Tamandua tetradactyla: one gene and its partners. The protein of the gene in region 1 purifies or fractionates together with the protein of each later gene. This does not show direct contact. Links are inferred from orthologs where the notes say so. Each region holds a gene or a part of one and is shown in the gene's direction. Other genes may lie near its edges.

Evidence for each region.
Region 2: the proteins of COPS5 (region 1) and COPS7A purify together in Homo sapiens (affinity purification with mass spectrometry; 19 studies listed by BioGRID and IntAct, counting the BioPlex papers as one, with this or other methods). This does not show direct contact. The link is inferred for Tamandua tetradactyla from reciprocal best matches to the Homo sapiens genes COPS5 and COPS7A.
Region 3: the proteins of COPS5 (region 1) and CUL5 purify together in Homo sapiens (affinity purification with western blotting; 6 studies listed by BioGRID and IntAct, with this or other methods). This does not show direct contact. The link is inferred for Tamandua tetradactyla from reciprocal best matches to the Homo sapiens genes COPS5 and CUL5.
Region 4: the proteins of COPS5 (region 1) and KLHL15 purify together in Homo sapiens (affinity purification with mass spectrometry; 3 studies listed by BioGRID and IntAct, with this or other methods). This does not show direct contact. The link is inferred for Tamandua tetradactyla from reciprocal best matches to the Homo sapiens genes COPS5 and KLHL15.

Annotation. Positions count from the first base shown.
Region 1 is NC_135332.1:110,682,545-110,689,550, reverse strand, and holds the start of COPS5 (COP9 signalosome complex subunit 5), read left to right. Parts: upstream 1-4,000; 5' UTR 4,001-4,209; coding exon 4,210-4,514; intron 4,515-6,477; coding exon 6,478-6,712; intron 6,713-7,006. UniProt on the Homo sapiens protein: Probable protease subunit of the COP9 signalosome complex (CSN), a complex involved in various cellular and developmental processes.
Region 2 is NC_135333.1:69,009,228-69,016,219, forward strand, and holds the start of COPS7A (COP9 signalosome complex subunit 7a), read left to right. Parts: upstream 1-3,977; 5' UTR 3,978-4,089; coding exon 4,090-4,115; exon of another isoform or gene 4,116-4,213; intron 4,214-4,225; exon of another isoform or gene 4,226-4,355; intron 4,356-4,605; coding exon 4,606-4,810; intron 4,811-6,295; coding exon 6,296-6,371; intron 6,372-6,604; coding exon 6,605-6,693; intron 6,694-6,992.
Region 3 is NC_135334.1:33,919,289-33,926,612, reverse strand, and holds the start of CUL5 (cullin-5), read left to right. Parts: upstream 1-4,314; 5' UTR 4,315-4,767; coding exon 4,768-4,791; intron 4,792-7,324. UniProt on the Homo sapiens protein: Core component of multiple cullin-5-RING E3 ubiquitin-protein ligase complexes (ECS complexes, also named CRL5 complexes), which mediate the ubiquitination and subsequent proteasomal degradation of target proteins.
Region 4 is NC_135353.1:150,252,109-150,258,972, forward strand, and holds the start of KLHL15 (kelch-like protein 15), read left to right. Parts: upstream 1-3,844; 5' UTR 3,845-3,909; intron 3,910-4,259; exon of another isoform or gene 4,260-4,483; 5' UTR 4,484-4,677; intron 4,678-4,887; 5' UTR 4,888-4,953; intron 4,954-6,864. UniProt on the Homo sapiens protein: Substrate-specific adapter for CUL3 E3 ubiquitin-protein ligase complex.

The DNA of each region.
Region 1 (7,006 bases):
TTGCCATGTGCCCTTCCAGCTGAGAGAGAAGCCCGAAGCCTTGGGCCTTCACAATTGAGAGAGAAATCCTGAAGTTCATCGGCCTTCCTGAACCAAGGTATCTTTCCCTGGATGCCTTTGATTGGACATTTCTATAGACTTGTTTCAATTGGGACATTTTCTCGGCCTTAGAGCTGTAAACTAGCAACTTATTAAATTCCCGTTTTAAAAGCCATTCTGTTTCTGGTATACTGCATTCTGGCAGCCAGCAAACTAGAGCAGGGAGGAAAGAGGTAAACCAGGACAGCGTTTCTCACTTCCCATCCATCCACAGATCTCTCCATCTAATGAAAGTTTCTCAATCTTTTTCTCCTATTAGATGAAATCCACATGAGCAACTTATCATAGGGACACAAATCCCCCTAAACATGTCTAAGAAGTAAATACTGTGTCGCTGCAGGGAGACCAAAAGGGTGGGGGTCAGAGAGGAAGTAAGTTTATAAAAGCTTTTCGAAGTCTATTAAGCAACTATTAATGGCAAGTACAGATGACAGTCGCAAAAATTACATAGACTATGGGTTTTGTAAAATTGCCGAAACACTTGCTCAAATATCTTTCTCTTTCACTCCAGAAAGCATATCAGAATGTAAGTCAGAGTGATGTTAAAATATCTGAAATCTGTCAAATTCGTAATCAACTGCATTTGTCTAAAGGTTGATTTGATAAAAATTGTACTGAAAGCACACCTGTTCCTTCCCAGAGATTACTAGTGCTGCAAGAGACCCAAATTTCATCCTCGGGAGCATTTCAGCATATATTTACCACCAGAAAGACAGCATCCTCCTAGCCAGGAGAATGATATACAGTTAAGAAAGCAACATCTTACTGGTTTCCCCCAGGATTCCTTTTTTTTTTTTCTTTTTTGGTAACGTATACAAAACATAAGTTCCACTTTAATAACTTTCAATATACAATCAGTAGTATTAATTATATTAATGTGGATCCCATCACACCACCCATTACCTAAAACTTTCCAGGATTCCTTTTTGCTTGTAGACAGGACATGCCAGTACGTTTATAAATAAAACCTCCTCAGAATAACTGGCTTTTGCAAACTCTTCTTGATCGTTATTAGGTGTATGGAAACTATGAGGTTTTCTTTAAAATTTAGTCTCTCTAGACATTCAAGCTACCTTCTCAATCCTATAATCTTTGGAGCAAGACTCTCAAAAGATGCACTATTGCTAACATTGCTAACGTTTACTGAAAACTGGATTGAAATCTCAGAAAGTACCCTAAATTGAAGCAATTAGAAATAAAAGGTTCTAGTTCAAGAAGCCAGGCAATTACAGGAACAGAACAGAATAACAAAAGCACCTTCTTCATTCATCTGTGGTGAAGATTAAATAAATTATAACTTGCGAAGCAAAGCTCCGGGAAGAGCGCGGGGCGCACAAGCCCTCAACAAACGTTAACCATTAACCAGCACTACGGGAAAGGAAAGGCGCCGCCAAAGGCTAGGTAGAGCTGTGGAGGCCGGGTCCCCCAAGAAGGAAGGAGTGCAGGAAGGAGGACCCCGTGCGTCTAGGACACCGGGCTGGCTTCCTCCCTACGAAGCTTCGATGCGTTGTCAGGCAACAGAGTCACCATAACACCCGTGGCGGCCGCCGGGAAACCGAGACCGCCGCATGCGTGCACCGCCCCAGCCCGGCAACCGCCACAAACCCGCCCGCAGGGTTGACCCCCCAGCCCGGCAGCCATGAGACCCCTGCCCGCAGGGAACCTCCGGTCACCTAACTCCTCCAGCCCTGCAGCCGAGGGACCCAGTCCGCAGGGAACCCCATACATCGACACTTGCACTGCCCGCATCCGGTTACCCCTGTCGGCAGACAGCTTCCACCCACAGGACCCGTGTACCGCCCCCAACCCCAGCCGTCAGACCCCAGTCCGCAAAGAACCCCACCCGCGTAACCCTTGCACTGACCCAGGCTCGGCTGCCACAGGGACTCTCCCTTACCCCCTCCCCGGGTCCATGAAACCCAATCCCCGCCCCGGGGCCGCGAATCCAGCCCTGATCCCCTTACTCCCGGGCCACACCCTGTCGGGCCCTATCCCCACCCCGTGCTGGCGGACTCTCACCCAAGAGGATAAACTCCGTTTGGGGTCCTCACAATGTTCCAACTAGGAGCTTTCGTGTCCAGGAACGGAGGCGGCAGTCGCTCGGCGCCGGAGAACAGTGACAGGCCGCTGGCCCGGCTCCGCCTCTCTGGCGGAGATCTCCGCCCGCCTTCACCAACGGCCGGGTGCGGCCCCGCCCCACTGCCGTCGCGGCCGATAGATCACGCGGCCGGGAGCGCCCTCTGCAGCCGGGAGGCCGCACAGCTGCACAGCTGCACAAGGGCACCCCCGCCCCGGGGCCCGCAGGCGGCGCCTGCAGCCCAGCCGGAGACAGTCCGCCCCGGGGCTGTTAAACCGTGGGATCCACTTCCCAGGTTAGATTCCAGCCCCTCCAGCCTCTCAGGCACCGGCTAGCTCAAGAACTGGGTCAAAGCTAGGAGAAAAAAAAAAAGGTAAGGGGAAGCCGTGAAAGGAAAACTGTGTACATACTTCTGGGCATTGCTCTTAGCCCAGCAATCTAGTCTAATTATGTCCTGGGTTTTTAATACCATTTCAACAGGTTATTCATTTCACCCCAATACTGAATAGCCATAGCTATCTTTGGGGGGAGGGGAGGAGGCAGAGGATTTCTAGCTTCCTAAGAATGTGGAACTAAGGGTCCTTTCCTAAATTACTTTGTGTCTTTAAATGCAGATTTTCTTCGGTTGGAAGTCAATGTCAAAACAGCAGGTGACTGAGTGTGAATTTGATCCTTCCAGTGTTTTTTAAGTATATGCCAGGCACCATACTAGGAGTGGAGGCTACAATACAGTGTTTTGCACTCAAGCTTACGGTGGAAATAAAATCTTCAAGTAAACAAATATGTTATTACAATGCAATGTAATACAGTCATAGAAGCACGTACAGAGACTGAGACAACATGGAAGAAATGATTACTAGAGAGAGGAGGGAGTCAAGAAAGGTTTCACAGTGGAGATCTCCGAGCTGTATTTTAAAAATTAATAAGAACTCTCTGGCAGAAAAGTTGAGGAAGAGAATTTCAGGAATTGCTAATCGCATATGCAGTCAAAATAAATATACTGCAGGAAGAGCAAATATTCAGGAGCGACTAAAGAGAGAAATGAAGCTGGGGAGACGCGAAGGGACCAGATTATGATGAGCTTTGACACTACTCAATTTTGTTCAGCAAAAAATTTATTAAACATCTACTCTGCTAGGTGTTAGGGACAAAACAAGACAGATCTGGTCCCTGCGTCTTAGAATTTTGAATCCAGCGGGAGTGTTGGCGGAGGCTGACCCAAACAAGTAAACTAACAAATGAAATAAACATTTTATTGTTAGAAACCTAAAGGTTGCTGAGATGTAATCCCTCGGGGTCAGGGGTAGTTTCACAGAATGATGTTGAAGATTTTATAGTAACTTATTATAAAAACTGAATACCAAGAAAATAAAATTAAATTTAAAAAGCAAAAACTGGGTATAGACACTTCAGGACAGTAACTAGCTCAAAACATATAAATACAGCTGTTAGATTTTACAAATATGCAAGAGGTATTTCGCAGTCCGCGTATCTCCAAAGCCGCCCCGAACGCAGAAAACGCCGATCTGAAGGCGCTGAGCCAAACTGCCGCCAACTCCCTTACATTTACGCACGCGCAGTGAGTTGTCTAGCAGGAAAATGGGATGCCATTTGTATCTTCCTTCTCACTGCCATCCCGAACTACTTATATCTCAATTTCTCCACAGGCACCCTGATTTTAAGCTTTCAACGAACCTATCTTATTTGAGGTCCCTTACACCCAGACAAAAACTACTACTTTCCCCATCATAGCCTGAGACTCTATCCATTTTAAATATGGCGGAGGCCGAGCCTGCGCAGTACAAACAAAGAAGGCTAATTCCAGATTCTGACAAACCGTTAACGTGCCCTTCTTCCGGTGCAGAAGGTCGTACCATTCTCATACCCAATTACCTTGTTTGGCCTAATTCACATGTATAATTCTCAGGACAGGATGTTTTCATTTCAGCCGCAAGAAGATTCCTCTTTCCCTAGGTCTTCCTGTTACTTCTGTTTATATCGTCACTCCTCAGAAGTACCCCTGTCATCTCCGAATGGTCTGTACCACCTTCACCTCCGGTTCTAGGTGTCATGGCTGCTTTAAGAGTCCTGTAAGAGTTTGCACCGGTGGTGGGGAGGGTCCGAAGCCCACACCCGGAGGCCTAACGGGTAAAGTTGCGTTAGGTTGTGGCGGGGACAGCTTCAACTCATCGGCTATGGCAGCGTCCGGGAGCGGCATGGCCCAGAAAACCTGGGAATTGGCCAACAACATGCAGGAAGCCCAGAGTATCGATGAAATCTACAAATACGATAAGAAACAGCAACAGGAAATCCTGGCGGCGAAGCCCTGGACTAAGGAGTGAGGAGGTCCCTGGCGAGACGCAGGGGAGGGAAGGGGTGGCGGGAGTTTAAGAGGCTTGGGGGAGTGGGAGTTGAAGAATGTGGAGAGCTTGGCACTGTCTTTTCCTGGGCTAGGAAGGAGAGGAGTATGAGAGATTTTGTCTGCCTTTACCTCCGCAACTAGAACCCAAATCCCTCTCTGAGGGTCTGCGGCGACTCCTAAATTCTGTCTCCTTAATCCATTTGCCTACAGGAGATGAAAGGGAGTAAAGAAGTGGCGGTGATAGGGGTTATCATCTCTCAACATCCGTATTGTCATTAATGCCGCACACTCTGCCTTGAAGCACGAGGGGATCTACACTATGGCTGGTCCTTCAGCTAATCCTGGACTGGGGACTGCAGTCGTCTTCAGGACTCTCAGATAGCAATAAGCCATCTTTTAGAGATGTATAAAAAAAAGATGTAAAAAAAAGACTACCAGTCTTTTAACTGCTGGTAGTTATGTCATGGACATACAGAGGCTTTATCCAGTCTCCCAAAATAATGGTACACCACTTCAGATAAGCCAAAAATTATATTAATAGAGCTTAAGGCTCTTTGCCCCTTAGCAAAATATTTCTTTCCCTGGAAACGATGACAAGTCTAGAGTTCTTTTCATCATAACATTTATTCTTTACTGAGAACAGACTTTGTTAGAGAAAGTAAAAAGAGCACGGGAAGGCACTGTCTGATGGAGAGGAAGAAAGACAGGAACACCAACAGAAACCATATTTTATCTGCTCAGAGTTTTAGACAAGCTGACTTTAACTGCCAGAATTCAGATTCAGCAATGTTTATTGAGAACTTAATACTGGAATACCATATAATCTTTTCCTGACAGTCTTGTACTGTATTTTCATTCCTTTTTTGCAATTATAAAACAGGCAAATACATGAAAGGCACACCTCATGATTGCACTGAGGCAGTGAACTTTTAAATAAGCAATAGACCTAAGATCAATTCTCCCAGCTGTCACTAACTGTGTGATTGACCTTGCGTCCCCATTTTTTTGTCTCTGAAATGGAGATAAGACTTACCTCTTGTGGATGTCAGACAGATTAGATGAGATTTTGGTATTAAAAGGGTTTAGAATGCATGTAATAGGATCACAATAGTTGTATCTTCTTTTCTTTTCCCCAGTAAATAGAGGAGCCAAAATTTTAATTCATGTGCCTGAATCCTAAGACCAAATCTTCATATTTTTCAGCTTGTAACTGAAATCTGTCAAAACTTGATAATTAAGCCTGGATGCTTTTAGATGACCTGTGAGATGTCATCTAAAAATGACTTTTCATAGAATTTGGCCATTCTATACAGACTGTTTAGGTTGCCTTGTTATTTGCTTACTACTTATAGTAGACTATGCATTTAATGTTGATGTAGTCTACTGATTATTTACTTTATTTAGTCCTGACAACAACCTTATGAAATATTCCTATTTACAGAAAAGCAAGCTAAAGAACAGACATTAAGTGGTTGTCCTGAGGCCATAGTTAGTAAGTGGCAGTGCCAGGATTCAAACATAGTCGGATATCAGAGCCCATGTTCTCAACCATTAGGACAGAAGGCTGATCCTGAGAATAGTTGGTTAGACACAACCATTCTGCCAGAGTCAAAATCAGAGACTCAGTAATGCTGAAATTAATAGAGAAAAAGTCTATTAAGCTGATCTCTTTTTCACTTGAATAACATAGTTAAAAATTCTTTCAGACTTTGCCTCCCCTAAGTGGAAATAACTGTTCAGAACTATGACATGTTTATTATTTTTGGCACCCTGCAGGAACTCTGTCCTATCCTATTTTTTCTTTCCCCAAATTTACACTCTGTCTCCCCTTCCATCACTGTAAATTCCTTCAATATATAGTCCTTCACTTCACCAAAAAAAATACCTTTTGAAATTGTTCTTTATATAAATTTAATTACACCATGTTTTTGTCTTGTAGTCACCATTACTTTAAGTACTGCAAAATCTCAGCATTGGCTCTACTGAAAATGGTGATGCATGCCAGATCAGGAGGAAACCTGGAAGTAATGGGTTTAATGCTAGGAAAGGTGGATGGTGAGACCATGATCATTATGGACAGTTTTGCTTTGCCTGTGGAGGGCACTGAAACTCGAGTTAATGCTCAGGCTGCTGCATATGAATACATGGCTGCGTATATAGAGAATGCCAAACAGGTAAAACCATTGTTTCTTAAAGTTCATAACCAGAAGTTTCAAGGTGACTTTTGACTTTCCAAACCTAAAACTGTTCTCTTTACGCTGAAGTTCATAATTAAGTTTTTTGCAACAATTTCTTAATGTATAGGAGATTAAAAATTTGGAATTTTTTCATTCAGATTCTCTCACTACCAGATGTGTGTTTAAAATGAAAAGTTTGGATGGAAACAACTTAAATGTTCCTGACTATAAAACTGGTTAAATAAATTATGATACATCTATACAATGGTTTTTCTAGCCTGCCTTTAAAAA
Region 2 (6,992 bases), on another chromosome or scaffold:
CTGCAATTCCACCTCGTTCCTTGATTTGCTGACATTTTACTGAAGATTTTGGTATCTCCATTAATGAGTGAGATTGGTCTGTAATTTTCTTTCTAGTGGTGTTCCTTCCTGGTTTTGTTATCAAAGTAATTCTGGCTGAAAAAGAGCTGAGGAGTGTTTTTTTCTTTTCCTATTATCTGGAAAAGTTAAAATTAAAATGAGCTGCACTTAGAAAGTTGGTGCAGCTTGCTTGTATAGTGTCATCCTTGACTTTTCTTTTCCTTTGTCATTTCACACCTAATCCATATACAAATTCTGTTCACTCTATCTTCAAATTAAATCCAGAATCCAATCACTTCTCTCCACCTCTACTGCTACCACCTTGGTTCAGGCCACCAACATCTATCTCTTGCCTGGATCACTGCAATAGCCTCCTAAGTGCTCTCATTGCTTCTATGTATCCATCATAATATATTAAACACGTGGGTCAGATCATGTCACTTCTCTGCTCAAATCCTCTACTGCATGCCCATTTCACTTGGAGTAAGAGCCATAGTCTTTCTAATGGCCTAAAAGGCCTGACATAGTCTGGTTACCCTGTTACACCTTTACACCCTGTTAATCTTTCTGTCCTCATCCCTGCTTCTCTCTCTTTTTTAATTTTTATTAATAAAACCAATCAACATACAACACGAACATCCTTAATGTATGAGCATTCCATACTTGCTGTGCACTCAGTGGCTCACAAAATCATCACACAGTTGTATACTCATCACTATGATCATTTCTCAGAACATTTATGTCACTCCAGAAAAAGAAAAAAGAAAAAAACTCATGCATGCCATACCCCTCACCCCTCCCTCTCATCGACTACCAGTATTTCCCTCCACTCAAATTCATTTCAACATTTGTTCCCCCCATTATTTATTTATTTTTAATCCATTTTTTTTTACTCATCTGTCCATACTGTAGATAAAAGGAGCATCAGAACAAGGCTTTCACAATCACACAGTCAACTTTGCAAAAGCTATATCATTATACAATCATCTTAAAGAAACATGGCTACTGGAACACAGCTCTACAGTTTCAGGCACTTCCCTCTAGCCTCTCTAATATACCTTAGACTAAAAAGGGGTTATCTATATAATGCGTAAGAATTACCTACAGGATAACCTCTCGACTCTATTTGAAATCTCTCAGCCACTGACTCTTTATTTTTGCTTCATTTCTCTTTTCCCCCTTTCAGTCGAGGTTTTCTCAATCCCTTGACACCGAGTCCCAGCTCATGCTAGGATTTCTGTTCCATACTGCCAGGGAGATTTACACCCCTGGGAGTCATGTCCCACATAGAGATGGGAAGGGCAGTGAGTTTGTTTGCTGTGTTGGCTGAGAGATGGGCCACATCTGAGCAACAAAAGAGGTTCTCTGGGGGTGACTCTTAGGCCTAATTTTAAGTAGGCTTAGTTATCCTCTGCAAGGATAACCTACTTCTCTCTCTTAACTCATTCAGTTCCAGACCACCTTGCTGTTCCTCAAACTCTTCGAGCATGTTCCCACCAATCTACAAGTCCAAAGGGCCTTTGGACTTGTAGATTGTGTTGTCTGGAATACCTTCCCACAGAAATCCATATGACTTGCTCCCTTAAAGATTTCACGTTTCTGCTCCAGTATTACCTTATCAGGTATATTTATATAAATTAGCAAACTTCTGCATCCCTTACCCCCTTAGCTTGATTTTGTTTTTCTTTTATATATTTATTTACTTATGGGCCTGAGTCCAGCCACAAGAATGTAAATACCAAGAAGGCATGGATTTTCTCTGTGTCTTCAGTAGGTAGAACAATGCCTGAAAACAACAGGTACTCAATATATACCTTTTGAATCAACAATGAATATTTTATTATGTCTGACCAGTTGCATGCCCGTCAACTTTTCTAGTTTTATTTCTGCACATCTTACTCTCTATCATTACCATTAAGAACACAGTACCTGGTCCATTGCCTTGTACATAACCATTGCTTAGTAAAAAAAAAAACATGTGAATGAATGTACATTCTGAGCTTCACATGTTTACTTAGCTCCCATCCTCCCTTTGGAGAACTTTTTCTTCCCATTGTTCCCTCTTTCCCCACTTCTATTCCTTTCTCTTTTCTATTTCAACCTTACTCATCCTCTTTTCTCTGTTCTTTCTAACCCGACTTCTTTAGTCTTCTTCCCTCCTTTTTTTTCTCTGAAGTCTCCTCTTTCCCTACTCAACCAATTATTCTCTCGTTTTTTTCCACTCACTCCTCTTTCTCTCACAGAAATATGAAACATCTGAATCAGAATTGGCTTTGAGATTCCATCATCTAATCTCTCACTTTGCAGAAACAGAAGAGATACCACAAGATGGCATGATTTGCTTTAAGGAAACAGCTAGTTTTCTTTCCTCCCTTTCTTAGAACAGGCTAGAATCAGATAAACTTATGTTTGGATTGATCTTAGCTCCACCAATCCTGGTGACCTTCAACAAATTACTTAACTTCCGTGATCCTCAGTGTCCTCACAGATTAAATGAGATATTAATATGCACCTCAAAGAGTCACTGTAAAGACTGAGGAGAAAATTGAACAAATAAAGCACCTGGCACATAATAGAACAAATGTTCGTTCTTTTCTCATTCTTTCTTCTTATATATTTTTTTGTTTCCCTCTTTAAAATAATTAAGATTGGTTTCTTTGTACTTTGAATATTTTACTATGCCTTGACCTTCCCCTCACTATTATGTTTCATCTCTTCCATTCTCCTCCTTGTGCATTCCTCCCTTCCCCTCTGCTGTTTCTCCTTCCCCTACGCCTGGTTCTCATTCTTCTATCATGAACTAAAGGGTGTAAACCATAAACACTGAGCTTGAAGTCCTTTCAGCTCTAACAGTCTACTAGCCCTATGTCTTTCTCTTAATTTCTTTTTTTTTCTTCCCCTTAGTCTTCTTTCCATTACTTACAAGTTCATTAAGTTCTCTGGGCCTCAGTTTTTCCATCTGGAAAATGGAGATAATCACTAGATTGTTGTAAAGATCAAGTGAGTTACGTAAAGGTCTCAGCCCAGTGCTTGGCACAAAAGCCTCCAACAGGCCGCTAATTTTCTTCTCATTTGACCTTCTGCAGACCTAAAATGAAACATAAAACACTATAGAAATATTAGGGTTTTTTTTTTTTCCTTCTCTCTCTCTAAAGTAACAGGTGACAGAAAAGACAGCTTTGGGTTTGAAAAGATCTGGGTTCCAGTCAAACCCATGAGTTCTGATGAGCTCAATTTCCTTATCTGTAAAATCAGAATAATAAAACATATGCCTTCCTCCAACCTAGGGCTTTTTCCTCCCCCGGAAATAATAATAGTAATAATAAGAGGTCAATTTATAGACAGCATCACTCCACAAGTACATGCTGCAGTCGCGGTAGAGGGCGTCCTGGCATTAGATTGGGGAGGCAGAACAGTTTTAAGGATTCACTGGGATAAAAATGTTTTAAACACCTGACCAACAGTAAGCACTCAATATATGTTAGCTATTCTTCTTTTCTCCTGATTCTCAAAAAATGAGTGGTTGAACTATCTAGGTTACCTCTGTCGCTAATGTTCTATTATTATTACTCCTTCCTCTATCCTTTTCGTTCCGCCTCCCCCATTTTTTTTTCCTCCTTCTCCCTCTTTCCTGCCATTACAACTGCCGTCTCGCGTCCAGCATCCGGGGAAGCCTGGGTCTCTAGGTCTCGGGCTGTTTACAACTCACACAAAGCCAACTCGGACGCGCCTGGGGCCAATAGTTCCGTCTGCGATTAGCGTCAGACGCTCTCCCACCAATAAAGTTTTATTGAATCAGAGCAGAAAAAAAAGACACCCGTCAGTCTTTCTCCAGCAGCCAATCAAAGAGTAGGATTCCTGCGTCCCTCACGCGAGCTTCAGTAGTGAGGAGGCTGGGACCGAGTTTGTCTCGCCAGATACCCGCGTCCTTAGAGCGGAAGTACGGCCGGAAGAAGGCCATAGAGTTTAGCAGCTAGAGCGACCCTGGAGGGAGGTGGCAGGAAAGGCGCAGAACAGCTGCCGGAGGTGACGGTGCGGCGGCCCCGCCCGATGCACTTGGAAGACGGAGCTTCCAGGTAGTGACCCGCAGAGTGTGACCTAGGGTACGACCGGGCAGTCGGCGGAAGCCTACGGTCTCTGAGCGGCCTCTTTAAGGGAGGGGGCGGAGCCACGTGTAAGGAGTGTGGGGGAGAGGTCACATGATCGGGGGCACGTGCGGGGCACGAGGGGAAGACTGAGGGAGTTCGTCGTCGTTGGGGTGGGCATCATGTGACACCCCTTCCCCCACTGTATCCTGTGTCTTGGGGCTCAGTGGGGTGCGTGTGGTGGCGCTTGGGGTTAGACCCAGGGGGTCGGGAAAGAGGGTGGACCTGGCATCCCTGTCTCAGCCATGCTGTGGTCAGATTGGGCGGTTTTTGGATTTCTAGATCCGAGTTCTAGACCAGTTAATCTCTGATTTCACATTGTAGTGGTGACTCAGTGCCTCAGATATCCAGCTCCTCCCCCTTTTGCTTCCCATCCTGCCATCGTTCACGGATGCCAGCTTCACATCCTCTTTCCTTGCAGCTCCGGACATCCTGAACCCAGATACCCCCAGCACAGTGCGGCCATGAGTGCAGAGGTGAAGGTGACAGGGCAGAACCAGGAGCAATTTTTACTCCTGGCCAAGTCAGCCAAGGGGGCAGCACTGGCCACACTGATCCACCAGGTGCTGGAGGCCCCTGGTGTCTACGTGTTTGGGGAACTGCTGGATATGCCCAATGTTAGAGAGGTGGGTTTTTGGCCTGAAAAGTCCACAGGGAAGCTTGGGGCTAAGTTTCAATTTGAGATGGAAGGACAAGGGTTCATTTTGCAACCCTAAAACCATTCAATTGAATAAGAATACTGTGACTAACTGGCACAAAAGAAAATAAGCAAGTGAACTTCTTAGTTTCCTTTGAAGATGAAGGCTCTGTAAAACCTGGTCATTATTTCTAAGTTCTCTCTGCTGTTTCCAGAAGCTTTCCACAAGTCTTTGGGGGAGGGGTCACTTTCTACCTTATCTGCTTTAAATAAATTAGCATATGGCACAAAGGAAGGAGGACAGGGCCTGCTAGTTTAACAAGTTCATTCCTTCCATTTACACTTATCCATAATCCCACTGGGTTCCTACAATAACAATATCATAACCATTTTCAAAAGAGAAAACTGAGCCCCTAAAATGAAGCTGACCTGATCAAAATGACATGATGATTAAGAGCTATTACGCTTGAGAAGATAGGCTGGAACACAGGTTTCCTGTTCCAAATGAAATACTTAGAAATAAAAATGTCTAAATATAAAAATTTCTTAGTCTTTGGGCATTACTCTGTGGTACAGGGAAAATTGTGGTTGCTTTCCTTTGTAGTAGAACAAAAGAGAATCAGTGTGAAGAAAAATAAGCATTATTAGGTGCCTATTTAAGAGAGACAACTCTGCTGGTAGTCTGGAAACACCAGAAAAGTATGAGACATGGTACTTACCCATTTGAAGCTTACATTCCAGTTGAAGATATAAGATGAATGAATATAAACCTATAAATCATTCAGTTAACAACTATTTGCTGAGAGAGCTATCTACATGCCTACCTTTGCTAGATCCCGAGTGAGAAACCACATCCATAGACTTGTTGAAAAGAAAGGTATTCTTTAGGTAACAACCTTAGGCAGAGATTGATTAAGTTCCAGGATGGGTGATCACTGTTAGGAGAAGGTAGAGATCTGGGTGAGTTGGCCTGGGTGATGCAAACTTCTGGCTGAGGTGGGTCTGAAGCACAGGCAACAAACTCAAGTGTCTGCCTTGGCCATATAGCCATTGGATGAGTGTGGTGGAGGCATGAGTCTGTGGTCAGTTGGGGAGTACAGCAGACTGTCTAAAGATACTCATATTCAGAAATATTAAACATAGTCTGAAGACCTATCAGTATAGTTTGTAATGTCTGATTTGTGTTTCTATCAGAGCACTTTGTGATTTTTTTTTTTGGTGGGGGGGGTGAGGGTTTATGGATGAGAAGACATTGTAAATTGGGGGAATAGCATAAACAAAGGCCTGGAGATAGAAATGAGTTCTCCCTGTGGGGACAGTGGTCAGAGAGGCAGAGAATTTCTGTTGGTAAGCTGGGTGAAGTCACGTTGCAGGAGAAAGATGGGGCCAAGGAATAGAGGTCAAAACAGGGCAAGGGTGGGAGGGAGCAGAGGGAAGCCCTCCCTGTCACCTCTTTTCCCTCATATTCTTGCAGCTGGCTGAGAGCGACTTTGCATCCACTTTCCGGCTACTCACAGTGTTTGCTTATGGGACATACGCTGACTACCTAGGTAACCGGTGGGGTTGAAACTTTGAAGGAGTGGAGTTGGGAGAAGGAAACTTTCCAGAGGGACTTAATTGAGAGAAATTCCTGGGATACCTTAGTTGGATCCCCTAAGTGCGCAGGGTCAGAGTCAAGACCTGGATTGGCATGGAAGACAAAAAAGAGAAAAATCGGGTAGGGGGTTAGGGCTTCCCACAAAACTAAAGTCAAGATTTTCTGCGCTTTGTCCTTTTTCCCTAGCTGAAGCCCGGAATCTTCCCCCACTCACAGAAGCTCAGAAGAATAAGCTTCGGCACCTATCAGTTGTCACCCTGGCTGCCAAAGTCAAGGTGAGTGGCAGTCCCCCCCAGTTGTAAGTCAGAAGTCTGTTCACAAGGGACCATCTTCAAGGATTTTGTACTGAGATAGCCTTTGAGCCAGCTGTCACTTCTTTGTGCCCCTTGCCTCCCAGAGGTCTGTATCTAATGCCATTACCTGCAACCTTTTAGGCTGAGTGTTATTCTCTTAGTTTTTGTTTTATTTTAATTTTCAATCAACTTAAATTCTGCATAAAACATCTTTTGTATTGGTAGAGTGGGTGCAGAGGCCCACACAGGCAAAAAAAGAAAGAGAGAAAGAAAACATCTTT
Region 3 (7,324 bases), on another chromosome or scaffold:
CTTAGTCCTAACCAGATCAGCTTCATTCACATCTCTAATTGAAGTCTGTTCTCTTTTTCAGCTTCTTTAACAATTGCTGCATGGAGTAATATTGACACTCAAAGCTGCAGAACTCCAATTCTGAGTCCCAGGTGTCATACAGTGCCAAAGTTCTGGGGCACTTCCAGATTATACACGAAGAACACAGCATCTCAGAATTTAGAGATAATAGGAAAACTCAGGAATAAATGTGACCACTGTAATAGCTTATAATCCAGGAAGCTTTATAATGAGCCTTATTGAACATTCAGTACTCCTTAATCATCCATTGCCTAATCTCTGCCCACTTTCTATCTCCAGGTAACCTATCTTCTTGAATTCAATTCTCAGAGTTTGCTTAGTAAATTCTTATTAGTGAGGACCCACAATATCTGTCCTTTCATTTCTGGCTTATTTTGCTCAACATAATGTCCTTAAGATTCGTTCATCTCAGATTCCTAGCTTTTTAAAAATTATTTTAGAGATATTTTGACACAACGTACAGTCGATCCAAAGTATACAATCAGTGGCTCACAGTATCATCACATAGTTGTGTATTCATCACCACAATCATTTTTAGAACATTTGCATCACTCCAGAAAAAGAAATAAAAAGAAAAACTCTATACATCTCATACCCCTTATCCTTCCCTCTCATTGATCACTAGTTTGTACTCTATCCAATTTCTTTTTATCCCTTATTCACCTCCCATTATTTATTTGTTTTTTGTCTATATTTTTTACTCATCTGTCCATACCCTGGATAAAGGTATAAAGGGAACATCAGCCACAAGGTTTTCATAATCACATGGTCACACTGTAAAAGCCATACGTAAAAAACACACTGTTCTACAATTGTCATCAAGAGTCAAGGCTAGGGTAATATAACTTATGTAGATAGCTTGGTTGAACAACATAAGTACATGGAATCTTGGGTAGGACATGAGATTTTGTTGGTTTGTCCAGAGTGATGCCCTGATGAATCCCCAAGTGATTTGATCAGTGAGCAGAAAAGTATTTGCAAAGCCCCTTTTGGGGAATGGTGAGAATGGGGGAAAATTCAACCTCCCCAAGTTGAATTCTTGATATTCTCACAAGCAGTGTGGACAACCAAAGCTATAGGCTGAGCCCCCAGTCTTGGGGTTTTTTCACATGAAACTTAAACCCACAAAGGATAGGTCAAGCCTACTTAAAATTAGGCCTAAGAGTCACCCCCAAGAGAACCTCTTTTGTTGCTCAGATGTGGTCTCTCTCTCCAGCCAACACAACAAGCAAAGTCACCACCCTCCCCCTGTCTACATGGGACACTCCCAGGGGTGTGGACCCTCCTGGCAACATGGGACAGAAATCCGAGAATAAGCTGAGACTCAGCATCAAGGGATTGAGAAAAACCGTAGAATGAGCTGAGACCCAGCATCAAGGGATTGAGAAAATCCTCTCAACCAAAAGGGGGAAGAGTGAAATGAGACAAAGTGTCAATGGCTGAGAGATTCCAGAGTTGAGAGGTTATCCTGGAGGTTATTCTTATGCATTAAGTAGATATCACCTTGTTATCCAAGAGGAAATGGAGAGGCTGGAGGGAACTGCCTGAAAATGTAGACCTGTGTTCCAGTAGCCATGTTTCTTGATGATGATTGTATAATGATATAGCTCTCACAGTGTGACTGTGTGATTGTGAAAACCTTGTGTCTTATGCTCCTTTTATCTACCTTGTCAACAGATGAGTAAAACATATGGAATAAAAATAAATAATAGGGGGAACAAACGTTAAAATAAATTTAGTTTGAAATGCTAGTGATCAATGAAAGGGAGGAGTAAGGGGTATGGTGTGTATGGTTTTTTTTTTTCTGTTTTCGTTTTATTTTTCTGTTGTCTTTTTATTTCTTTTTCTGAATTGATGCAAATGTTCTAAGAAATGATCATGATGCTGAATATGCAACTATGTGATGATATTGTGATTTACTGATTATATATATAGAATGGAATGATCACATATTAAGAATGTTTGTGTTTCTTTCCTGTAATTTTTTTAAAAAAATTAATTAAAAAATTAAAAAAAAAAAAAGAGTCAAGGCTAGGGGGTACAAGGGTAGTTCAGTGGTAGAATTCTTGCCTGCCATGCAGGAGACCAGGGTTCAATTCCTGGCCCATGCACTTCCAAAACAAATAAAACAGCAAACAAACAAAGAACAAAACCAACCTAAGAAACAAAAAAATTCAACAAATGGTGCTGCAATAAGGGGACACTCACATGGAAAAAGAATGAATTGTGACCCCCTCCATACAGCATACAAAACAGAAAAAAGAAAAAAAGAATCAAGACTACTGGAACGCTGTTTCAGGTATTATAAGGAATTATAGCTCTTCTAATACACTAAAAATTAAAAAGGGATATCTATATAATACATAACAATATCCTCCAGAATAACTTTTCACTCTATTTGAAATCTCTCAGCCACTGAAACTTTATCTTGTCTCATTTCTCTCTTCCCCCTTCCCCTTTTGGTCAAGAAGTCTTTCTCAATCCCATGATGTCAGGTCTCAGATCAACCCCGGGAGTCATGTCCCACATTGCTAGGGAGATTTACACTCCTGGGAGTCATGTCTCACCTAGGGGAGAGGCAGTGCGTTCATCTACTGAGTTGGGGATTCCTAGGTTTTTGACCTGAGCAATTGGATGGATGGTAATGCTTTAAAATGAGATGTGGAAACTTAGGAGATGGGAAGAAGCAGATTTGCATGAAGGAAAGGTGTGGAAATGACAGAGAAGAGAACCAAATATTCTATTTTGCCTACTGTCTAAGGTAAAAAACACTGAATAAGTAAGGAAATTGATTTTATTCAGGCTACTGCACTAGGGAAAGCACCCAGATTCAAGGATCAGAGTGCCTCGGTAGGGTGGTTTTGCCTTACACTTTAATATGGAGGAGTAGGCATGTTATAGGTATAAAATTCCATTTTACTAATGGAATTGCAATGGGGGGAGTATAGTGTCAGCCAGTCAACTGAACAAGCATGTGCCACCACCCACACGCCTGGTAAACTGTTTTCTACTTTTTGACTATGAATTTGCTCATTCTATTTCACATCAGTAGAATCATATCTTTTTGTGTGTGGATTATTTCACTCAACATGATGAATGCCTGGGGGCAGTGAGGAGGAAAAGAGGCTTTTTTTTTTACTTTTAAAATCCCCCAACATTTAATTATAAAAAATTATTTTAAAAAACCAAACAAAAACTGTAGAAAAAATTGACCTTTAAGTGTCCTCCTCATGTTACCATTCTGCTACGACGTTACAGGTATAGAGGCTCTGAATTGTTGTTCTGCCACTTAGTAAATGTTCAGTTTTAATCAGGTTCTCTCTATTAACTCATTTGGTGTAAATGCGATATTAACAAGACTTGTAAATGACCTTTCTGCTTCTATTCATGCACAGTACTCAGGATGGTAAGACGGGAGTTGATGGTGTCATTACTCTGTTCAAAACCCAGCAATGATTCCCCATCTCACCCAGAAGAACAGCCAGTTCTTCCAGTTTCCTACAAGTTCCTATATGCTCTTAGTCCTTAATTTGCTTTCTCTGTTCTGGACACTTTAATTTGTTCCCTGTACAGTCTGGACAACCTTCCACCTCAGGTATATTCCTCTGCTTTTCCCTATGGAATGCTTTCTCACATTTCGCATGGCCAGCTCCCTCAACTCCTTTAAGTGGTTGCTCAATTGCCGACTTCTCAGGGAGAACTACATGGACTACTACACTTAAAATTGCAAGTTTCATCCCTTTTCTAGGCTTTACTTCATAACTCTCACTTCTTTTTAACATATTAATGTATTAATGAATACTGTTTGTAAACATGCATAATACAATACCACGTATACTGAAGGTTCTTTATATAAAATTAACATACTGCTCCCCTGGCCAGTAGTTTGTGATCTGAGCGGATAGAGCTTGGGGGCTTATATTTTCGAATTTTCTAGGTCAATGTGTCGTGATGAAATCCAAGATTAATGCTCATTCCCTCAACAATCTTTTTCACAATAAAAGTGTGCCAGGCACTCTTGAATAAAGCAATAGCTATCACTTTTGTGCATTTATTCATGCATTCATGTATTCAACAAATATTTACTGAGCTCCTTCTACGTGCCAGTCCTTAATGAAGACAGTTCTAAGCATTTCAAGATCCTGTATTCCCCTTTAGGTATGAAAAAAAAGGTCGGATCTCGCCAGCAGAGGGCGTTGCTCCCGTCCTCTCCGCTGCCTCCTGGTCTTCCGATGCTCCCAGGCTCGCTCCCGAGCGCGCACCCGCCCGCCGCATCACGTGATGTGGCCGCGGACCCGACCTGCCAGGCCTAAGCAGCGCTAAATTGGTTGACGGTGGCTGCTGTTGGTGCAATCTTAAAGGCTAATTCGAAGGAGTGGGGCAGGCTCGAGGAGTCGATGCGTCCTCCTTCACTTCAGGTCGGCTCCCGTCACTTTCTCCCCATTTGCCTTTCCGGCCTCCCCGAGTGTTTGCATGAACTCTTCCGTGTGGGGAAGCTCCGGTGACCATGTAGGGGTAAAAAGTGAAGCAGCCCTCGGTGCTTGGGACGAGGTCAGGTCTCAGCACGCCACCCCCGCGCCCACCACACCCCGGGTTCGGGCCCAAGGGCCTATCGATCCCTGGTGGAAACTCCGGCCTCCTGTTGTGGCCTGGTCGGGAGCGCCACGAAATCCCGCGTCGTCTCGCGAGAATTTAAGTTGAAGGAACATGGCGACGTCTAATCTGTTAAAGGTAAGACCTTACTCCATTCTGGGGTTTATTCCGTGACCACCAAATTCATCTCTTTGGAAAAGGCTTGGTTCTGGTTCAGCAGCGAAACGTGGAGCATTCTGGGGTTGTTCACCGGAAGGGAGGCAGCGACGGTTGCCGCAGAGAAGCGGAGCACTGGTCTTTGGCCTTGGGGTCGAGAGGCTCTGGTTGTCTCCCCCGCCGGCAGCCGGCAGAGTGAAAGCCCCGCCGCAGGGCTAGCGGAGAGCGATGCTTTCAGAGGACCAGCTCTGGCCGGATGGAACGGGTGAATGGGCGAGTTGTGCTCTAACGGATTGGGCCTTTAGTACTTTGGGGGGCGGGGGGCGGGGGTCTTAGTTTCTGTCGAAGCCAGAGTCTAAGACGGTCTCAGTTTTTTCGAAGCGAGAGTACGAGACACATAAAAGGAAAATCCAAGAAATTACCGCCTAACAGGTTTCAACTACTTGACCCCTATTTCCCCAATTTCTGTTCTGCATGAAATTTCAAGTCAGACCTAACAGTGTTTCCCATCCCAACCCCTTCCTCCCTTTTCTGCACGCTACACCTTCCCTCCTACTTCACCCCCTCCCAATTTTTGAGTTCATATTATTCCTGTTTTTCCTTAAGAAACTGCTTCCCACTCCCACTCCCACTCCATTGCAGCACCTAACCAGGTGAAAACTGATGAAGTGTCACTTCAGGGCTTAGGGAAGTTACCTTATCAAAGAAAACATTTGAAGATGCTTTTCTATATTTGAATAGCAAGGGAAATCTAGGCCGAAACCTCTACCATCAGTTAAAAAGTTTGGAGGAGAATTAGGTAGACATGGCCCCAGTCTTGTTCTGGGTGTTTGTGGTAGGAACCTTTTACCTTAAAAATATTGATTGGAATGGGGGTAGTGATCAGCTTAGGGAAAATAAATACAATGAATCGTCTCTTCTTCACTCAGACATATCATCATGCCTGCAGGCAGTTTTGATGCATAATAGAACATATTAAAATATACTATAACTTCACCATCATGTTCCAGTCTACTTAACTGCCTACTAGGTGGGATTGTCTGATAAAATGAAGATGTCATTTTACTAATTTAAGAGGCAGTATATCTTTTTTTTTAAAAAAGGGTAAGGGTCTGGAGCTACACTGCTTGAATATCTGTCACTTAAATCTGTGACTTTGGACAAGTTTCTTAATCTCTCTGTGCCTGAGTTTTTCTCATTTCCATACCTGTAAGAAAGTTCACAAGTCTCCTCATCTAAACTCAGCCTATACCTTGCTTCGCCTCAAACTTCTGCCGTTTTCTCTCTTTCCATTCATCATCACAGGTCTTGGAAAAGCAACCCCCTCTTGCTGCCATTATAATTCTTTGCCTCTTTCCTTAACTTGCTGTAACTTGGCTCCCACTCAAGCCCCCGTTATATTGAAGCTGTTGGTCTTAAAAGCACTAGAAATCTCCTGATTACCAGATTAGATTTTTCTCTGATCCAGTCATCCTTCATTTGTACTGGTGACTACTTCTGCTTCTTTTTTTTTGGTTTTTATGACGTTATTCTTTACTTGTTCTACTGTCTCTCAAATCCCTTGTGTTTTTCCCTGCCCTGCTTTGTGTGTCCCTTGCCCACTTATAATTATTTTTCAGGATTTGATCTTCAACCCTTTCTGTTTGTGCTTTTTTCCTGGGACGATCTTAACTCCCATGATTTCACTATTTTTATCTCTTAACTCTTATCTTAGTTTTAGAGTGAACACAGTTATGACCATATCACTTTCCTGCTCATAACTTTTGATGGTTTAAATTCTTTGAGATCTTTACAGCTTGGTCTTCTTCTCACTAATAACTAATTCTTATTTTCTCTCTTACACACACACACACACACACACACACACAACTATCAGGATAGTTACTTGTTGGTTCTCTAGCTTGCCCAGGTCTTAATGATTTTTTTATCTTTGCTGTTTCTTCTGCCAGGAATGCTCCTCACCGCTCCAGTGTTTGCCTGTTAAAATCCAATTTATCTATCAAGACCATCCCAGATACCTCAGCTAGAATGGTTACCTACTCTGCACAACCGTAGCGCTGTATCAGTCTCTTCTAGCACTTATGTTGTGCCTTATTTATTAGCGGTAGGATCTGTTTACATACCTAAATCCCTTTCCAGAGTGTAAACGCTATTAGTGCAGGGACTTGATTTTATCCATCTGTTGATGTCTTTCTACACAGACTGTTGTCACTCATGGTAGGTGCTCTGTAAATGAGAAGTAAATGATTAAAAAGACAAGTCTAGTGCAATAATGTACCTAGATGCTTAGTGGATGGGTATCGATTGGTTAAAAGACTTTTTAAATTTAATTCTCTTTCCAATTAGATACAGAAAAGGGGAGAGAGAAAAGGAGGGGGATGTAAAACCAACCCATCAAGAGAATCCTAGACTTTTCAACTGCAATTTAAAGCTCATTACTTTTCTCAGTGGAAAAGTTTTTATCCTTTGAGAGGAAAGGATGGACACAAAGAAACAATTCAAATTGTCTGTAGAA
Region 4 (6,864 bases), on another chromosome or scaffold:
ATTTATTTTGTTTATAGCCTGACTCCCCCCTCACCAGAATGCAATCTCTAAGAGGGCAAGGATTTTTGTGTTTTTTCACTGATAGCTCCCCAGGGCTTAGAAGAGGACTTGGCACATAGTGGGAACTCATAGATGCTGATGGAATGAATAAGTAAACCAGCGCAGTAGATTTAAAATGAATAATTTATGGAATTAAGTATAAATTAAAATGGGACGGTGTAAAGATCATTTAATATGTTAATCAGCATAATAATATGGTACAGGGTAAAGAACACAAGATGAGAGGCAATGGAAGCACTAGCTGGCACAGTCTACGCTCAGCAGCCTTCCTGATCTTTTGTTTCTCTTCCCTCTCCCCTCCTTTTGTCCTACCCTGCAATTCTATACTGCGATCCTACTGAATTATGAGCAGTTCTCTAAATGTCCCTTGCTGCCTCTCCCTGGCCTGCAATGCACTGCTCTGCGGGTACCCTTTACTCTCCTCCTTTCCCCCTCTCTTTCCCTTTGGACTGAACTTAGAGGTCACCACCCCTGAGAAGCCTTCCTTGAATTGGCCTAGGTTAGGTCCCCTCTTTTGTGCTCACTCACAATGGCAACCCATGTTGCCATAATGCATTGAGGGATGTGGGGGAGGGGCTCTGAGACCAAACCTGAATGGTTCTGGATCCTCAATGACTGGCAGGCATCAGAAGGAAAGCAGTTATTCTAATAACTGCCAGTGGATATTTGTTTGCTAAGGCTTTAAGGGTGGAAGGGAATCGTGTTGAGAAGCTTCTTTCCAGGAGGAATCACGTTGTTCAGTCCTCTTAGTCATGTAGATATGTCAAGTTATCAATTAATTTTCCTTGAGGTAGCTCCCCATTTTGGTGAAATAATACGAATGTAAATACTTCAGACACATTCTGTTTTGTGTGTGTGTGTGTGTGTGTGTGTGTGTGTGTGTGTGTGTGTGTGTGTGGGAGGGGGGTACCACTTGAAGGTTTTCCTGTGTGTGTGTACTCTCATTCTTTTTGGATGTTTAGGGATTTTGATTTCTCCCACCTGGACCAGAGAGTTGGGTTTTGGGCTCACGGGATTGGGGAAGAGAAGAGATGAGAGAAACAACTGATATGCCTAAGAGGGGGTTTCTACCAATAGGACTACAAACATGATTTAGCGATGGACAGTACAGAAATCCCTATGTAGGGACCTCTAGAACCATGACCTGTTTAAAGAGTTGCTTTTCTGTTCTGCATCAGAGTTGCCTGGTGATAGCTTTAGTTTTTTGCTTTCGCTAAGGAACTGGAAGGAGAGTCACGTTCATGAACAGGGAAGAAGTAGATGGGCTGGAGAAATGTGGAGAGATGTTGACAAACCCGAAGGCCAGAGGCAATAGGAGAGAAGCCAAGAGGAGGCATTCCAAGGGAGAAGTGACCAGCGATGACCAAGATGTGTAAGCATTAGCCAGGAATCCTCTAACATTCATGAAGGTACCAATTTACCGTTAGTCATACAACAGAAGGGCTCAAGTTATTCTATTTGGCTGTTAGAACATGAACTTAAAAGGCTGGAAAATTGGGGACTCTGAGGTTACACGGTCTGTGATAGGGAACAGGAGTTTGCTGAAGATATTACTCTTTGGTGCCCAGAGATTGGGGCTAGTTTCATGAAAAGGAATTATCAAGGTAACTACCACATATTGTGGATTTCTGAAAAGCCTCAACTTCCGTTTTTTTAAGAAAAAAAAAGGAAATGGGAGGGAACATACGGTATCCTATAATCCTCAGTATCTCTGATAAGACCCTTCCTCCATCACTACCACTCCCAGTGCTTAACTTAGAGTATGCCTCTGGATAGCCACTGCTGCTGAATAGATAGTGGATTTGAGGAATGTGTATTCTCAAATACTTAGGCTAGAGGGCTAGGGAAAGATAGCTTCCATCTGTTCGGTGGGGCTCTACCAGTGTGAAAGGATGTACTTAAAGTATTTAGGAGCCCCCACTGCTTTCCGGAAATTGGTGGGGAAAGTGATTGGAGACAGGAAATACCTAGAAGGGTTTATTTAAATGATATGGTTTTACTATTCTTGGTCTGTCCTACGTACGACACCCTTCTGCAAAACACTTTTTCTTTCAAATGAGAGTGTGAGCAGCATCATTGATTTAAGGATAGCTTTTGGGGAGTGGTGGTCTGTACATTTTAAATGTAGAGATTGATTGTAAGACACATCCCAGTTTCAGAAAACAGTCAAGTTTCAAAATAAAGAGCATTTTCAACTATATGATGATATTAAGAATTACTGATTGTACATGTAGAATGGAATGATTTCTAAATGTTTTGTTATTTTTTTAATTAATAAAAAAATAAAGCGCATTTTAAGTCACAGTGTAATGCCATGTATGTAATGTCATAATAAGGGGTACACACTGACCACCATGGCTCATGGCATCACTCGGTATCCTTAAACTTGCTCCAAGGACCACAATCATCCTTCGCAGCTCCTACTTGAATTAGGAACAGAAGCATCTCTTCTATTAGGTCAATGACACACTATGTCATGCATAGCTCAATATGTATTTCTGTCAAAAACTAATTTACAAAGAGTAAAAATTCAACGCTTTATTTTAACGTCCAAGATGAAGGTGTGAAAATTCAAATGTCCACAAAGTATACAATTTTTAAGTTTACTGTATGGTTTACAGTGGTGGTTTTTTTCTAAAGGCTTATTTTATGGTTTAAATCGGAGATTTTACTTTCCAGTTTTCCAAACGATTAAGGTGCTCCTCTTTATTTTTCCCACGAAGTAAGTAGTCTACTTCAGCAAAACAGTACACAGTGTGCTATTTTAGCCTCTTGGGAAACATGGCATGTTAAAGTTTGCTAGAAAGAGATGATTGCTTTTAGCTTCACATCTCATTGAAAGTTCATCTGGATAGTGGTCTGATGAGAAAATGGCGGCGGGGGCTGAGGGTGGGGGAAACAGAAATACTATGATACCTCAGTTTAGGATCACTAACAGGCAATGGATACCCTAATTTAAGGCTAATTTGCAGGACCACCGGCCTCCAACTGTTTATTTTTGTTATCGCCTCTTTTTCCACAGGGATTTCACAATCATACATTGAAAAACAGTTCTATGCTGTAATTTTATATTTCTAGATCAGGAAAATGTGATATTCAGAAAGCATTAACCAGAATTCGATAGCTGATTGGTTGAAAACATCACTGTCCTCTGAATGTTCTTGCCATCTTATTCTGACGCAAATAGATACCGAGCAGCTTTTTTAGATCCGGCATTTCTGTGTGGTGCAGACATGCCATTTTCTATGAATTTTCCCACCTCTGGGAAATGTATGTCGGAAACGTGTAATTGTCGTGTAATAAACTAAGTGAACCTATGACGCAACAATCCACTGCAAGTTGCCTTACAAAAATGATGTCATTTCGCGCAGATGTAGTCACTTTAATAACGCAGTTATTTGTAAAGCTCCCTCCACGTTGTCCCCGGTTCCCCAACCCCCTCCGTGTCGAAGATGCAGACAGACATTTTCCAAGCTTCCCAACTCTCACTTGGTTGCGGGCGGGGCGCACCGCAGTGGCTCGGCCCATCGCTCGTGCAGGCGGCCAGAGACCGCTGCCAGGGCACGAGCCCAGCCGAGCATCCTTTGCCCCGACGGCGGGGCCGCGACGACGGCAAGGCACCGGGCTGGGCCCGCGGCTGCAGCCCTGGCCCGCCTAATTTCCTCGGCTGGGGACCGCCGTCTGGGCGGGCCACTAGCCGGGACTTGGCGGGCCGGACCGCGCGGGACGCCGCGGGCGCGGGACAGCCCTCCCCCAACCCGGCTCCCGCTCCCGCGGCGCCGGAAGTGACGTGAGCCCAGCCGGCGCTGGGCTGAAAGATGGCGGTACTGGCGCTCGACCAGGGGCAAGGTAAACACCCGCTGGGCTGCGGCCCCCGCGCCCGCGCTCAGCGCCTGGGCCCCCTGGAGGCGCCGGCGGGGGCCGAAGGCGCCACCCCTGCCCACTCGCCACCACCCCTCCCCGGTTCCCAGCCTAGCCTCCGCCCTCCCCGCGTGGCGGACTTCCGCGACGCGAGGACAGAGCACAGAGCCCCCTCTTGGACGGCCCCGCCTCCCTCGGGCGGCTCCCGTGGCCCGCAGGGGGCGCGCGGCCTGGAGCGGCCCCTGGCTCGTGGCCTCACACGCCCCGCCCCTTGCCCGCCCCTTTCCCGCCTTCCTCCACCCCCGGCGTGGGTGATCGTGAGGCTCGGCGCGCTTCGGAGCAGACGCTTGGAGACGCCGTCGTCGACGCCGCCACCGTCTTGCTTCAGCCGCTGCCCCCGACCCCCCAACCCTCTCCTCCGCCCGCAACCCCGACTCAGCCCTCCCTCCGAGCCCTGCTAGGCCCTCGGCGTTGGCGAGGCTGGGCCCGGCCCCGACGCCGCGCCGCCTCTCGCCGAGTCCGACCGGTTCGACTTGCGACTCAGCGCTGTCTTCTTTCCCAGGACTGGTTCCGAGGGGGCCGCAGGCGCGCAGACTCGCCCCTCGCGGGAGCGCCCGGGTCCAACCCGGGAGCGGCTCCTTGTAGAGGTGCGAGGAGCCTGCCTTGTGCCATCCCGGAGCTCCGACCATCTACCGAGCGTCCCGTTTCTTCCTGATGCTTGCTGCCGTCCAGTAGAGGCTGGACAGGACCCCCGAGGTGCGTACCCGCCCCTGCACGGCCGGCCGGGGTGGGGGGGTGGGGAGCACGAGCTTCGTTCGCGGTCCCGTGCTAGGCACGGATTCGGTGGCCTCTGCGGAGTCTCACCCAGATCCTCACAGACCTGAGTCTAAAAACATTTGGTAGACGCCCGTACCTAATCTGTCTTTTGAGTTTACTTAAATTGTTTGAAATTTAATTTTTTTTCAGAGAGAGAGAGAGAGAGAGAGAGAAAAGAAGCATAATTCAGCCATTTTTTGCAGCACACAGCTGCAGGTACCATGATTATTTTTTCCCTAATCCGTTTCGCTCCTTTAAAAATTCTATTTCTGCCTGAAATAAAACTATGCGAAATTCGAGGCATGAAACCTGGAATCAGAAGGTCTGGGTTCGACCGTGTGATTCTAAGAAAACCCCTTACAGAGTCTGGGTTTCCTTATCTATGAAATCTAGTCAGTAGTATCCACATCACAGGGTAGTGAGGACTATATGAGGTCATACGTGTGAAAATAATCTCTAGCCATAAAACGTTATAAAAATGCAAGGCAATTTTCAAAGTAATCTTTGCCAGAGTGTTTAATGGTGTAGTGGCTAACTGTTGCTGCTTTAAAAAAAAATCTATGTTATAACTATACGCAATAAGGACAGAAGAGCAAAGCATTACTGTGAATCGACTAGATATGTATTAGTCTCTTTGCTTTGCCTTCCACCTATGAAATGTTAACTGCTTATTTAAATAACGGTATTCTTTAATTCAAATTTAACATGACTAGTGCTTTGCTGTTCATCTTTCTAGGCCACTCTTGCCGTTTTTCTTACTCAGAATATTTATTTAGCACCTTACATTTGTCTAGTTTTTTATATTTTCCGATGTAATTTCACCTTTGTTAATCTGATTAAATTCTAATTTAGAAAATGCTTTTTAGGTGTACTCTAATTCTATTGGCTGTCTTTCTTATCTAGGGAACAGGATGCCTGAATATCTCTACTGATTTTGAAAGTTGTTTTTGAAGAGCTTTTAAATGCATTCATTTTTGTAATTCTTAATAAATCTGGAAATGTGTAAAGATTGCAACTTTTTGGCACTTAATGTTTATATAATTGAATTCTCAAATTGTAATTATTGCAGTACTTAGTAGGTGCTTAGATTCACAGTTAATCAGTGGTAAAGGATATTAATTTGCTCCCTTTATTGTTGATTAACTTGGGGAGAAAACAGGATAGTAAATATTTCTGGTTTGAAAATTGAGTTTATTTGCAGGATTTTATATTACATATGTGTAATAGATCAGTATGGACTCATTCTGTACTTGGATGTCAAAAATGTAGCATCATTTGACTTTAAAAAATGGTGCACAAAATGTGAAAGAGAACATCTTTTAATATACCATTAATTTTAGCTAACATGGTTTTCTGAGTAGTTAGACGTTTTATTAAATTTATAATTCTCTAGTCCAATGCTAGTTGTCTTTTGGACCACACATTTGTTAAAGACAGAATAATGTAAGGCAGGCAGGATTAAAATAGCAAAAGGAAGAGCCTCCTTTCATTAATATGGTAGCTTTTATACATTGATTTATCACTTGTTTTGAAGATAAAATTTTGGCAAATCACTGCTTTATTAGGAATTTCAAGGTTTGACCTTCTCTCTGCCTCGATTTGGGTTATCTGGGGCTAAAGTCTTGGAACCAGGACCAGCTCTATGGGTGTTCATAAGGGTCCCACGTTGGATTAATAACCCGCATTTAAAACTGGCATCACACAATAAAAAGGTGAATGGTGAAGTTACTCATAATTTAAACAATACTGGTAATTTAAAATGTTATTTTTTTTTTTACTTTAAAATGACATTAACCAATTAAAGACATCATTACAAGTTGAGCAATACCACTGAAGAAAGGAAAAACTCCGTATTTTAGTACTTTTAATGACATTTTTTCCCTCCTTTTTGAACAAGGGGCCCATGTTTTGTTTTTGCTTTGGACCCTGCAAATTATTTAGCTGACCTTACTTGGAACAGTTTTTAAGCTTGCCTTTTCCTCTTATAAATGTTTTGAGAATGAATGATGTTAAATGTGAGGAGAATGAATCTATACCTTATGGGAGGGTGTAATAATGTATTATATATTTTCTCTGAATCGGAGTGCTGTAGGAAAGAGAGATGAAAGTTATTGATGAAACAGTATA